2 linked regions of the Canis lupus familiaris genome follow. The protein of the gene in region 2 interacts with the protein of the main gene of each other region in a biochemical or structural test. Links are inferred from orthologs where the notes say so. Each region holds a gene or a part of one and is shown on either strand. Other genes may lie near its edges.

What was found. The genes of interacting proteins can lie anywhere in the genome.
Region 1: the proteins of BLNK (region 2) and CD79A form a complex in vitro, tested with the Homo sapiens proteins (2 studies listed by BioGRID). The link is inferred for Canis lupus familiaris from reciprocal best matches to the Homo sapiens genes BLNK and CD79A.

The regions. Positions count from the first base shown.
Region 1 is NC_049222.1:113,150,997-113,156,715, forward strand, and holds CD79A (B-cell antigen receptor complex-associated protein alpha chain precursor), read right to left. Parts: upstream 3,763-5,719; 5' UTR 3,669-3,762; coding exon 3,590-3,668; intron 2,586-3,589; exon of another isoform or gene 2,436-2,585; intron 2,174-2,435; coding exon 1,850-2,173; intron 1,686-1,849; coding exon 1,567-1,685; intron 785-1,566; coding exon 716-784; intron 584-715; coding exon 464-583; 3' UTR 215-463; downstream 1-214. UniProt on the Homo sapiens protein: Required in cooperation with CD79B for initiation of the signal transduction cascade activated by binding of antigen to the B-cell antigen receptor complex (BCR) which leads to internalization of the complex, trafficking to late endosomes and antigen presentation.
Region 2 is NC_049249.1:9,879,789-9,885,443, forward strand, and holds the start of BLNK (B-cell linker protein), read right to left. Parts: upstream 3,575-5,655; 5' UTR 3,314-3,574; coding exon 3,267-3,313; intron 1-3,266. UniProt on the Homo sapiens protein: Functions as a central linker protein, downstream of the B-cell receptor (BCR), bridging the SYK kinase to a multitude of signaling pathways and regulating biological outcomes of B-cell function and development.

The DNA.
Region 1 (5,719 bases), on a different chromosome or scaffold from region 2:
GGGGCTGCGGGCCCAGAACCCTGGGTCTGAGAGAGAAGGGGGCTGGGGGCCTGGACTCCTGGGTCCCACCAGAGGGGAGCATCCCCATGAGATCCATGACTCCTGCCAAGGTCTGCAGTTGGGAAGGATTTATTATCACTAAGTGGCCATGACAGAGCAGGGAGGGGGAGGTGACACTAACGAGGCTCTACAATCAGCTCCCCTAGAGGCAGCGATTAAGGGCTCATTACCCGCTGGGTGTTGGGGGGGGGGGGTGGGGGAAAAGCAGCAGGAGGAGCGCTGAATTGGGGCATGGGGAGGGGATGAGGACAGTCTAAAGGGAAGAAGAGCAGACACCCTCAAGGGAGAAGTTGAGTCAGGACACTTCCAGGAAAGATTATGAAAAGAGAACAGGAAGGGGTGGGGGGACACCAGAGCTGGCGACACAGCAGGAGAGGGCAGCCCACAGGGTCACCCTGCAGGGTCACGGCTTCTCCAGCTGGACATCCCCGTCTCCAATGTGGAGGCTTCCCACGTCCTGGTAGGTGCCCTGGAGGCCCCTGGAGATGTCCTCGTACATGGAGCAGTCATCCAGATTCAGGCCCTGGGTGTGGACACACGGTGGTGGGGCTCAGCACCCTGACGCCCAGACCCACGGCCCCACGTGACCCCGGGAAGGACCCCCATGAGAGCCCCAACGCACCCGCCCCTAACCTGTCCCCACTCGCCCACTCACCTCATAAAGGTTTTCATCTTCATAGTCATCCTGGGCATCCACCCCAAACTTCATATTTTGCCATCGTTTCTGGGAGGGAGGGATTGGGAGCCACAGTGAGGGGAGGTGGGAGGAGAAGATGTTTTCTGAACCTCCTGGATGCTGAGAAGTGCTTGACCAGAGGAGGTAAGGTATGGCCAAAGCCACATAGCAGGTGAGTGGCAGGTGTCTCTGGATCCAAGCCCGTGTCCCCCTGGCTGTCTCTACTGCCTCACTGCTCTTGCAGGAGCCACAACTATCATAGAAATGGCAGTGGCTGTCCTGTGGCCTAAGGCGGGGCTGGTGCAGGTCAGAGACTCCAGGAGGACAGCCAGGCCCCTCTTCCCTGGCTACCTCTGGAGGGCTCCTGTGCCTCTGGTTGGTGGGGGGGGGGTAGAGCGAGACACCATGGCTGGGTGAGGGGGACTTGGGGGGTATGAGGACAACCCTGAGGGGAGACGGGGTGAGGAGGCCCCTCTGGGCCCTGCCCCCTTTATTTATTGATTTTTTAAAGATTTTATTTATTTATTCATGAAAGACAGAGAGAGAGAGAGAGAGAGAGAGAGAGAGAGAGAGGCAGAGACACAGACAGAGGGAGAAGCAGGCTCCTTGCAGGGAGCCTGACGGGACTCAATCCCAGGACTCCGGGATCATGCCCTGAGCCAAAGGCAGACGCTAAACCGCTGAGCCACCCGCTGAGTACCCCCTGCCCCCTTCAAAATCCTGTCATGGTGCTAATTCATTTGCCCCTCAGCCTTGGGATGGGGCTGTCACCCTCCCATGCTAGGAGGGGACCTCAGCGTCAGAGGGTCCCGGTCCACCGGGGGGCTCACCCTGAACAGCAGCAGGGTCCCAGGCACCACGGCACAGAACAGCAGGATGATGCCCTCGGCTGTGATGATGTTGTTCTTGGTACCCTCTCCCATGTCCAGGAAGGGTCTGGGGAGCCGCTCTGGGAGGAGGGGGTGCTGCTCAGAGCACTGGTGCCTCCCCGCCCCAACCCTCCTGGCCTCCCAGCCCTGTCCCCACCCTCTGATGTCCGCGGCCCCATCCTGGTGGCGCAGATGGGGCAGCATGGCCGGGTGGCCTGGGAGCCACACCAGGGCTGGCACTCACCGCGCACGCGGAGGTAGGTGCCGCAGGACTGCTGGGAGCTGAGGATTTTTTGGTTGAGATCTTTCTCCTCCACCTGGCATCGGTACATGCCCATGTGGCTCTTGTTCACAGTGTCGATGGTCAGCTCGCCATTGGGGCCTTTGCCGTAGCTCAGGAAGATGTCGGGCCAGGTGGCGTTGCCTTGGAGGACGCGCCACCACGTGATGTTGAGCTTGCTGGACAGCCTGCTGCGGTTATGCAGGCACTGGAGGCGGGCTGTTTCCCCCAGGCTCACCGTCATCGATGGCGGGCCCCCGTCCACCCACAGGGCCTGGCTCCCGGGGCCTGTGGAGAGGAGGAGACAGGGACTGTGGATGGGCCCCAGCTCTGGCCTGCAGCAGCAGCACCCCTGGGCGCTTGTGTGTGTGTATGTGCGGAGGGTGTTGAAGACACTCCCGAGGAGGAGTGTAAGACACCTTGGGGTGGTGACACACCCCTGCAGGTCCCCACACCTCACCAGCGCCATCTCTTGCCACCCTCCCTGCCTGCGCTCTGTCCTTTGCCCCCAGAGAACTCAGTGGCGTTTGGATATTTGATTTCCTTGCAGTAGGAGTGCCCTGGACCAGGTAGCAACCTCCAGGATCAGTCTGGGCATCACCTCCTCCTCCTGAAGGCCTTCCAGGCTCGCTTTCCCAGCCCCCAGCTTCTCCTGGCACCTGGCACTTTATCTGGTGTAATCTTCACTAACCCCTTCGAGGTAGGTTCTCTCATTATCCCATTTTGTAGGTGGGACAGCTAAGGCCCAAGGAGGATGCGTTGATTGCCTGGCATCACCAGGGCAGCAAGAGAGGCTAGCATCTCAAAGTCTGAGCCTTTGGGCCTACCTTGCCCTGTGACCTCAAACCCGTCTTGTTCTTTGTAACTTGTGTGTGTAGACCTGGGGGTCAGGAGTGAGTTAGGTTGGCAACTGGGTGTGCGGAGGGTGGGGGTGGGGGGTTAGGGGAGGGCCTCAGCGAAGTGGTTGGCTGCTGGGGAAACCCCAGCTCCCAGTCCCCCAGGCAGGCCCACCCACCTGGCTGGCTCTGCTTCTTTTGGAGGGAGGAGGTGGGAGGTGAGGGAGAGAGGAGGAGGAAGAGGTGGAGAAAGAAGCAGCAACCTTAGGGGCGTGGGAGCCAATCCCTGGCCCCACTCCCAGTGTGTAACCCGGACAGTCACAGCCCCACCAGCTGGCATTGTATGGGGTGGAGGTGGGGAGGAAGCCCCAGGAGGGCAGTGTCTTGATGAGGAGCCCCCTTCCCCAGCACTGAGAAGGGGTTCCCTACACAGTGGGGTGACGGAGATTCAAGGCAAAGAAGGAGAAAGCTGTTTCTTCTCTCTGAAGCTGAGAGCTACCCCCAAGTCCCCTTCCTGCCCCCAGCTCTGGAGCTCAGTCAAGGGCAACCTTAGTTCCTTATTTTGACCTGTGGGGATGAGGGGGTGGGGAAGTCGTCTGTCGCCCTGTTCTCCGTCCATGTGGCTGTGGACACCCCTTCAACTTTGCCGAATCCCCTGCAGCCTCCCCTCGGACCTGCGGCCTGCTCAGGATGGTCAAGCAGGTGGATGCAGTTTCTTTAGGGGCTTTCCCGGCACCCCCCTACACCTGCTGGCTCTTCACTTCCACTCCCAGTGCCTTCGTCTCTGCCTCTGCCCTCTCTCCAGCCTCCTCAGTCCTCCCCGCCCCACCAGCCCCCACCTCCCAGCACCAGCCTGTTAGCCACGTACCCAGGCCACCAGCAGAGATTAGGAAGAGGAGAAAGGTGGTGGCACACAGCGCTTGGAGGAGTCCGGGACCCCCAGGCATCTTTCCCAGTGGGGTGGTTGGTCTGGGGAGCAGCAGTCCTGGGGTACCAGATTCCACCTCGGCTGCCCCGAAACCCCGCCCCACTTCCTGCCCAGCCCTGCCGGAGATGGGCTCCAATGGCCCCACGGCTGGGCCCCTTCAGCTGTGGGCTGGAGGAGGGGGGGCAGCCCCTGTCACTGTGCTTCAGGCCCGGAGTGGAGAGAAACCGCTCCCTGCACCTGTGGCCACAATTCCCCTGAGGGGAGGTTGCTGGGTGGGGGAAAGAGACCAGTCGAGGCCTGGCTCCTCACAGGCCAGCCCTGGGAAGGAAGCCTGAAGGAGCCAAAGTCTGAGGTGTCTCTTGCCTACTGGTGATCTGCCGGCCCGGAGCTTCTGGGCCTGGTCTCTGCTCTTCACTGGCTGTAGGCAAAGCTTATCTCCTCTCTTGAGCCTCCATGTCCTCACTTCTTGGTGCTGGAACCCAGGATTCAAAGGGGTTGTGCATGCAAAGCTCTGAACACAGGGCCCAGCCCATAGTAGCTGCTCAGTAAAAAGTGGTTACTACTAATGCTCATGAGGAAAAAAATGAGGCAGGTCGACCAGCTCTATGACTAGGGGTGGCTTCCTATTCTGAGCCTTGGCATTAAATTTTTTTTTTTTTTAATTTTAAAGTGGGACGCCTGGGTGGCTCAGCGGTTTGGTGCCTGCCCTTGACCCACGGCCTGATCCTGGAGTCTCCGGATTGAGTCCCATGTCGGGCTCCCTGCATGAGCCTGCTTCTCCCTCTGCATGTCTCTCTCTCTCTCTGTGTCTCTCATGAATAAATAAAATCTTAAAAAAATTTTGTTAAGTAATCTCTACACTCAACAGGGGGCTCAAACTCACAACCCCAAGGTCAAGAGTCACCAGCTCTTACTGACTGAGCCAGCTGGGCACCCCAGCCTTAGCATTTAGAGAAGAGGATGAGAATAACTCCGGTGTTGTAACATGAGATGATGTTCCCAGCACCTGAGTGAGAAGTTAGAGCCACGGAGGGTTCTTGAGGCAAGTCAGCCTCCCCACAAGTGGGCAAGGTAGGCCCCGCCCCATTGTACAGAGAAAACGGGCCCAGAGAGATGCCGTAGCTTGCCTGGTGTCATACGGCCTGGGAGTGGTGGAGCAGAAATTCAAAGTCACTTACGTGTGCCCACATACCTTGGAGCATCATTGTAGGTCATGTGGAAGGAAACTGAGTCCGAGGAGTGGGGGTGGGGAATTACAAGAGATTGTTGAGATGTTTGTGAGCAGTCGGGGGACCATCACGCTCACGCATAAGGAGACACTTAGGAAAAAATTTTACTGCAGGGACATTTTTAGTAGCAAATGTGGAAACAAAGAGTCCATGTAAGGGAGATGGGATGCACACATTGTGATGTAGGCAGCCCGTGGAGTAGCACTCCGCAGAGGAAGAAGCTGAGCTCTACTTGTCAACATGGCTGCATCTCAGAAACGGCATGAAAATGACAAAAAACATGTAGCATGCAACAGTTGACTTGTTTCCAAAAGGCGAAACGACATCGGGTGCCGTTAGGGACACGTGCACCTGTACTTGAGGTGTGAACTGTGCGGGGGAGTGACATCCAATTCCTGAGAGGGGTTCCTTCTGGGGGGGAAGGGAGGGCTGGGACTGGGAGGGATAGAGGGCTTTGCCCATCTTGGTTTTAGGTCTTGTTTTACTTCTTTAAGCTGGGTAGTGTGTCCACGGGTTCTTCTCACAGGAATAGGAATAGGAAGTTTTGCATACTTGAAGCATTTCATAAGTTTTTAATTTTTTAAAAAATTTTTATTTATGATAGTCACACACAGAGGTAGAGAGAGGCAGAGACACAGGCAGAGGGAGAAGCAGGCTCCATGCACCGGGAGCCTGACGGATTCGATCCTGGGTCTCCAGGATCACTCCCTGGACCAAAGGCAGGCGCTAAACCGCTGCACCACCCAGGGATCCCCCATAAGTTTTTTAAAAAGTGCAACCATCACCTATGTGGAGGAGCATGGGCCACAAGTTTGATTCCTATATTTGGATTTCAGCTCTG
Region 2 (5,655 bases):
GAGACTTTGGAAATTGTCTGTTTCCAAACTCTTCATTTTATAGATGGGGGACACAGGGGAGATGAGGATCTATCCAGGGTGATGTGACAGAAAAGCCATATGTAGAATATATGGAAGTATCACAAAATAAAGACTACAGGGTGTGGTAGTAAATGGCAGTGCAGAGAGGGATGAATCAGAGTTAGGGTTGATGACAATACTATTGACAGAAACAGAGTATCAGAGATGGAGCTAGTGGCAGGAAGGTGAAAAGAAGGTGAATTTCTTTCTTTCTTTCTTTCTTTCTTTCTTTCTTTCTTTCTTTCTTTCTTTCTTTCTTTCTTTCTTTCTTTCTTTTTTTAAATTTCTACAGCCCAACATGGGGCTCAAACTCATGACCCTGAGTTCAAGAGTCGCATGCTTTATCAAGTGAGCCAGCCAGACACCCCAGTGGATTTGTTTCTGAAGAATCGAACTTGAAAAATCAAGTAACTGGAAATTCCAATTAAGGATTCCAAGACTCGAGAAGAGAAGCCATGTCCCAAAACCTGTGAAATTAGATCTCTAAGTAAGAGTCCTAGCAGTGAGACCCAGACACCCAAGAAGGGCTCTGTGTGCTCAACAGTTTTATTAGCCACTTAGGTTAAGGCAGAGGAGGGTTGTTTGTTGTGCCTCCAGTCCTTGCAAAGCTAAATGCCATAGGAGTTACAACCAACAGGTAAAATAACCAAAATAACCGAATAACCAAAATAGATAAAAAGAAGAACTGAAATGAACATAAACTTTATCAAGGATCAATGTAAAGTCCTATGTTTCTATTCAGGATTTCAATTACACACCTATGGAATTAATAAGAAAGAATAATAATGATATTAATATCATTTTTAATCTGATAATTATTATGGGCCAGGATCACTATGTGCCCTTGATGGACACTAATTATCTCTCTACTTTTGTGGCTAAAAATTTAAGCAAATTCTCATCTAAATTTTGATAAACCTAAGAATATAAACACAGCTCTTCACTTATACTGTCACCTGGTACCAAATAATTGCAGTTAGACAACCGTCTGATTTGGTATTAACGAGTCAGGACAGAGGACACAGACCATAGGGATCAATTACTTCATTTCCCTACTCCTTGCCATCCCATCTAACTAGAAAATATTTAAGATGGTGCTTCAAGTCCATCGTGTTTACAATTTCATTTTTTTTCATTTTTTTTTAAAGTTCCACGTCAGCAGTGCACATTTTACCAAAACAGACCAATTCTGTAAAGACAACTGAGTGACCAAGTGGAGAAAAAGTTACTTCTGCCTAAGCAGATGAATGTAGTGTATGATTATCCACAGTAGAGTTTTGGTTTTCTACCCTATAATCTATGGTTGCATATTGCCTGTCAACCACTCTGTGATTAAGCTGGTCTTTGTCCCAAGGGATGGGGGGTGGCAGGTGGAGATCATACAGTGATTCAGGTTCTAGTGCTTTCCTTTACTTAAATTCTGATCTGGATTTCCTAAAAGGGGTTCTAAGGCTTGGTATAGCTCTAGGTTATGGAATGTTTAGAAAGGACTTTTTAAAACCCTCTTGCTCATTTGAGAGAAGCACTAATATCCATGCCTTGTTAGTTTCTTTGGCATGTCTTTCTTACCTCTCCTTTCCTTTCCCTTCTCACTGCTGTGCCCCATGTCCAGGCCCCTAACACTAGAAGCCGTCATTCCTCAACTACCGTCATTACAGAATATCCCTGCCCCCAGCTTCCTACCCCTGTAGTCCATTCTGTCACCCATTAGTAAGCCTGCTGGCATGGCATCTCTAACCCTGTAAACCATTCTCTAATCCCCCACAGTTAGAGCCTCACTGTCCTCTGTGAGCTGGCCACACCCGACACATTCTCCCTTATGACTACCCTCTGGTACCATATACCCTATTCCATAGTCTCTGTTGGACAGAACACTCTCCTCGTCATCCCACCAATGCACTGAGTCAAGGCCAGCCTCAAGTGTCAGCTTCTCTATTTCCTTCCTCCTGGCTCATTGCTTTTCCTCCAATTCTCACACTACTTTTGCCTTAAGCCACCTCTCAAACCTAGCTCTTGAAGCATCTTCTCCATGAAACCTTTCCTGGCTATCCCAATTCCTTTTCTTTTTTTTTAATTTTTTTTTTCCAATTCCTTTTCTATACTCATTCAGTCACTTACTACTTTCATTGATTCACCTGCCCCCCTCCCATGAGAGTGTAGCAACTTGAAACCAAGGCAAAGGCTGAGGCACCTTCTTGTCCCCTGTCAGTGCAGGTCATACCGCAGCCCTCACCAACACACCCTTGAAATGTCTGAGCACATTAATGGAGCCTACTGGTCCCAGATCAGCAGTTCATTTCAAACCACTATTTACCAAGCACCGGCCAAATGTAAGATGCATACTCTCACTGTAAAGGGCCATCCCTCTACCAATTCCAGGCTAATTTCTCATAAATTTTGTCTCAAAAGCTCTAATTCTCTAGCTCCTTATTATTTGTGGAAACTTACTTGCTTCACGTGTCATATCACCCTCTAAAAACTGAAGTTCAAATGGTAGTTGGAATATAGAACACTCATTGTGTATTTAAAAGTTTCAGTCTCTAAAAACATGATGCTGTTACAATGAGACAAAAAGATCTTCCAAATGAGAATTTGAGACATTGTCTTTTCCATAACTCAGAGGAGTTTTTTGATTCTTGCTCCTTGCACCACTTCTGTTTTTTTTTTTTTTTTTCCAAGTGGCTTTTTTATAGATAATTGTTATACTGACATAAGAACACTGGAAAAACAGATCTCCTGTCCCCAAGCACTTGTGATATACACCCACAAAATAAATAAGAGATAGTACAACTACAATGAATACAAATGATTACAATGATCCTTAACATTAAATATTAAATAGTAATCCACAATGAAATAGTTAAGCGTTTAGCAAAGGTTAAACAAGGGTTAGACAAACCCTTCCTTAGACTAGTTTGTTGTATTCAGACTCAGAAAGCTGAACTTTAGTAGAATCTAAGCCAGAATTCTCCAGAATTTTCTACCTTAATCTTTCAATAGCTAAAACCAGCAGGAATAAGCCCACTTGTTCCTACATATCTCTTTAAAAACTCAGTCTACTTCCCTATAGCAACTGCCACCCACTGCCTTACAACTAGCAAAGTATTCCAGGATTTCAATATTTCTCAGATGCAGTAGGAGCATTAAAAAAAAGAAGAAGCAGAAGAAGCAGAGGAAGGAGAAGTATTAGATAAGGAAAATCTTACCTCAACTTCTGACTGGCAGGGACAGTTATTTTATTAAGCTTGTCCATTCTTTTTGTTAATTATAAGAACCACGAATAACCGTCAGCAGTAATGTCAGCAGGCCCTGGCCCTCTTAGGGAGAAGCATGGTAAGCCTTTGATCTCAAGGGTCCCAGTCACTTGAGTCTGATTTCCGAGAGTGCAGGCTGCTGGCAAACACCCTACAGTAGGGAGAAGTAAAACTTGCTCGAGCACATAGTCAAGTTTCATGTTTCTACATAATCATGTGATCTGGGTAGCCAGCCGGCTTGGCTGATTACTCCACGTCGTGTAAACTTTAATAGTGAAACCTATTGGACATGCAAATTTCTTTCCAGCTGCTTTCTTTTATAACCAGATTTGTAATCAGGTCAGGACTGGCTTCTAGATGGTCACTACTTCCTGTTGTCCCAAACACACATAGCCCTGTTTTTAGCAGGTGTCATTCTGTCCCCAGTTGCTTCCTGGGCTCAAGGAAAAGCAGAATAATCAATTCCATCAGGTCTCTTTGGGACTTTCTGTTCATTTGCATAAATTCATGGATAAATTTTTCCACTTAAAGAACCATGATATGAAAACGGCATTTCTGTACTGTCATTTAGAGAGCAGAAGGCAGTTTAAGTCAGGGAGGAGGAAAATGAGAGGGACAGTTCCTTTTATGTCTGGGCACACTTCCCTGCACCCAGCAAGAAATTCCTGCTCACCTTTGTGAAGAAGGTGCATATTTAGCACATTTATTCAGTGACTAATCCTCTCCTGGGTCTGAAGAATATATAAGAAGGACATAGCAGAGGCTCCAAGTTACCTCTCCTGTTACAGACCCCAGGTCTGGCTGAAGATAGAAGGGGAGATGGGAGGAAGAGCCAAAAGGAGAGACCTGAATGAGGTGGGGTAGGAGGAGTGGGGAGGAGAACGGGAGGGAGGAGGAGAAGGAAGAGGGGAGGGAGAGGCAGCCTCTCTGGCAGAGTACAAGTGGTAGATGGATTTCTTCCCTTCTGTATCTATTCTTTGTACAAACAGAGGTTCTATATTTCTCTAGGTAAATCTTGATTGTTCACATTCATGTTCTGCCTCTGAATTTCTAGTTCGACCAGGTGTTCAGGAGCAGAATCCTCAAAGCTATTAAAGGGTGGGGCCCTTCTGCTTGGCCAAGCCACTAAATTGGCCAGGCCAGCAAGGGAGCAGACAATCTTTCATGAGAAAAATTCAAGCACTTGCCTCTTCCAATTGTTTATTTTCCCCAAACAAGAAGCTCAGTTTCCTTGCAGTGTATCCCGAAGGAGTCCTAGAGCCTCACCTATCCTCTCTCCATAGTTCTTAACTGAAAAACAAAAACAAAAACAAAACAAAACTAGTAGATGGGAACAGGGAAAGCTATTACAATGTCACCAAGGATCAAGAAAATCAAGCTTCACTGAGTGGGATGATGATAGCCAGCCTGTTTCTTCTAAATTACTGTAAAGTGCACCCCATCAGCCACTTGACTTTTCTCTCAACTAACAAATCTGTTTAGCACCTGGACTGGCAACTTCTTATTTCCCCAGAGAAAAAAAAAAGCAGCGGCAAGAGTTACACTTCTGCTTTTTCTTTTTACAGCCACTTGTCTTTCTTCTTTCTTACTGTATTAGTCTGACATAATAAAAATGAGAGTCTGCTTTTCCAGACTGGACATTTTGCCCCATGTGGTGTGTAGCATGACTACCATAATGTTCCAAGCTGCCACAACTGCTCTGCAGCTGTAACCAGCTTTCCAAGAAGATCAATGCAAGCCTGGAGATCAAGGGTACCAAGTCTTAGCTAATGACTCGTAAAAAGAATGAGGCCACACGGCATGGTTTCCACAACACATGGAGAACAACGTACTGTAATAAACAGTCACAATTTACATGGCACAGTGCACATGAAAATTAATCTCTAGATGAACAGATGACAAATGGACAATCCCAACCTTAGAGAAAATTTGGAACTCTATGCACTGTTGACAAAAATTCAAGTAGGTACAATCACTCTGGAAACACTTTGTTATTACCAAAGTAATTTGGGTCATAGACATGAGAAAGCAGTACGAATATACTGTGTACACCAAGGCCATGTGCAAGAATTGTTATGGAAGAACCATTTCTAATAGAAAATTTAAAAACACTGGAAAAAATCCAATTGCTCATCAACCAGAGAATGAATACATTAATTGTGGCATATGAATGCAATGGAGTCCTATTCAACAGTGACAATGAGTGAAGTATAGTCACATTAGTATGGATAAATAATAAAAATAATTTATTGCAATAAAGGGAAGTTAAAGAAGATCATGTATCATGATTCTTGTTCTATTAAGGCTAAAGACATGTAAAACTAACTAATATATAATTTAT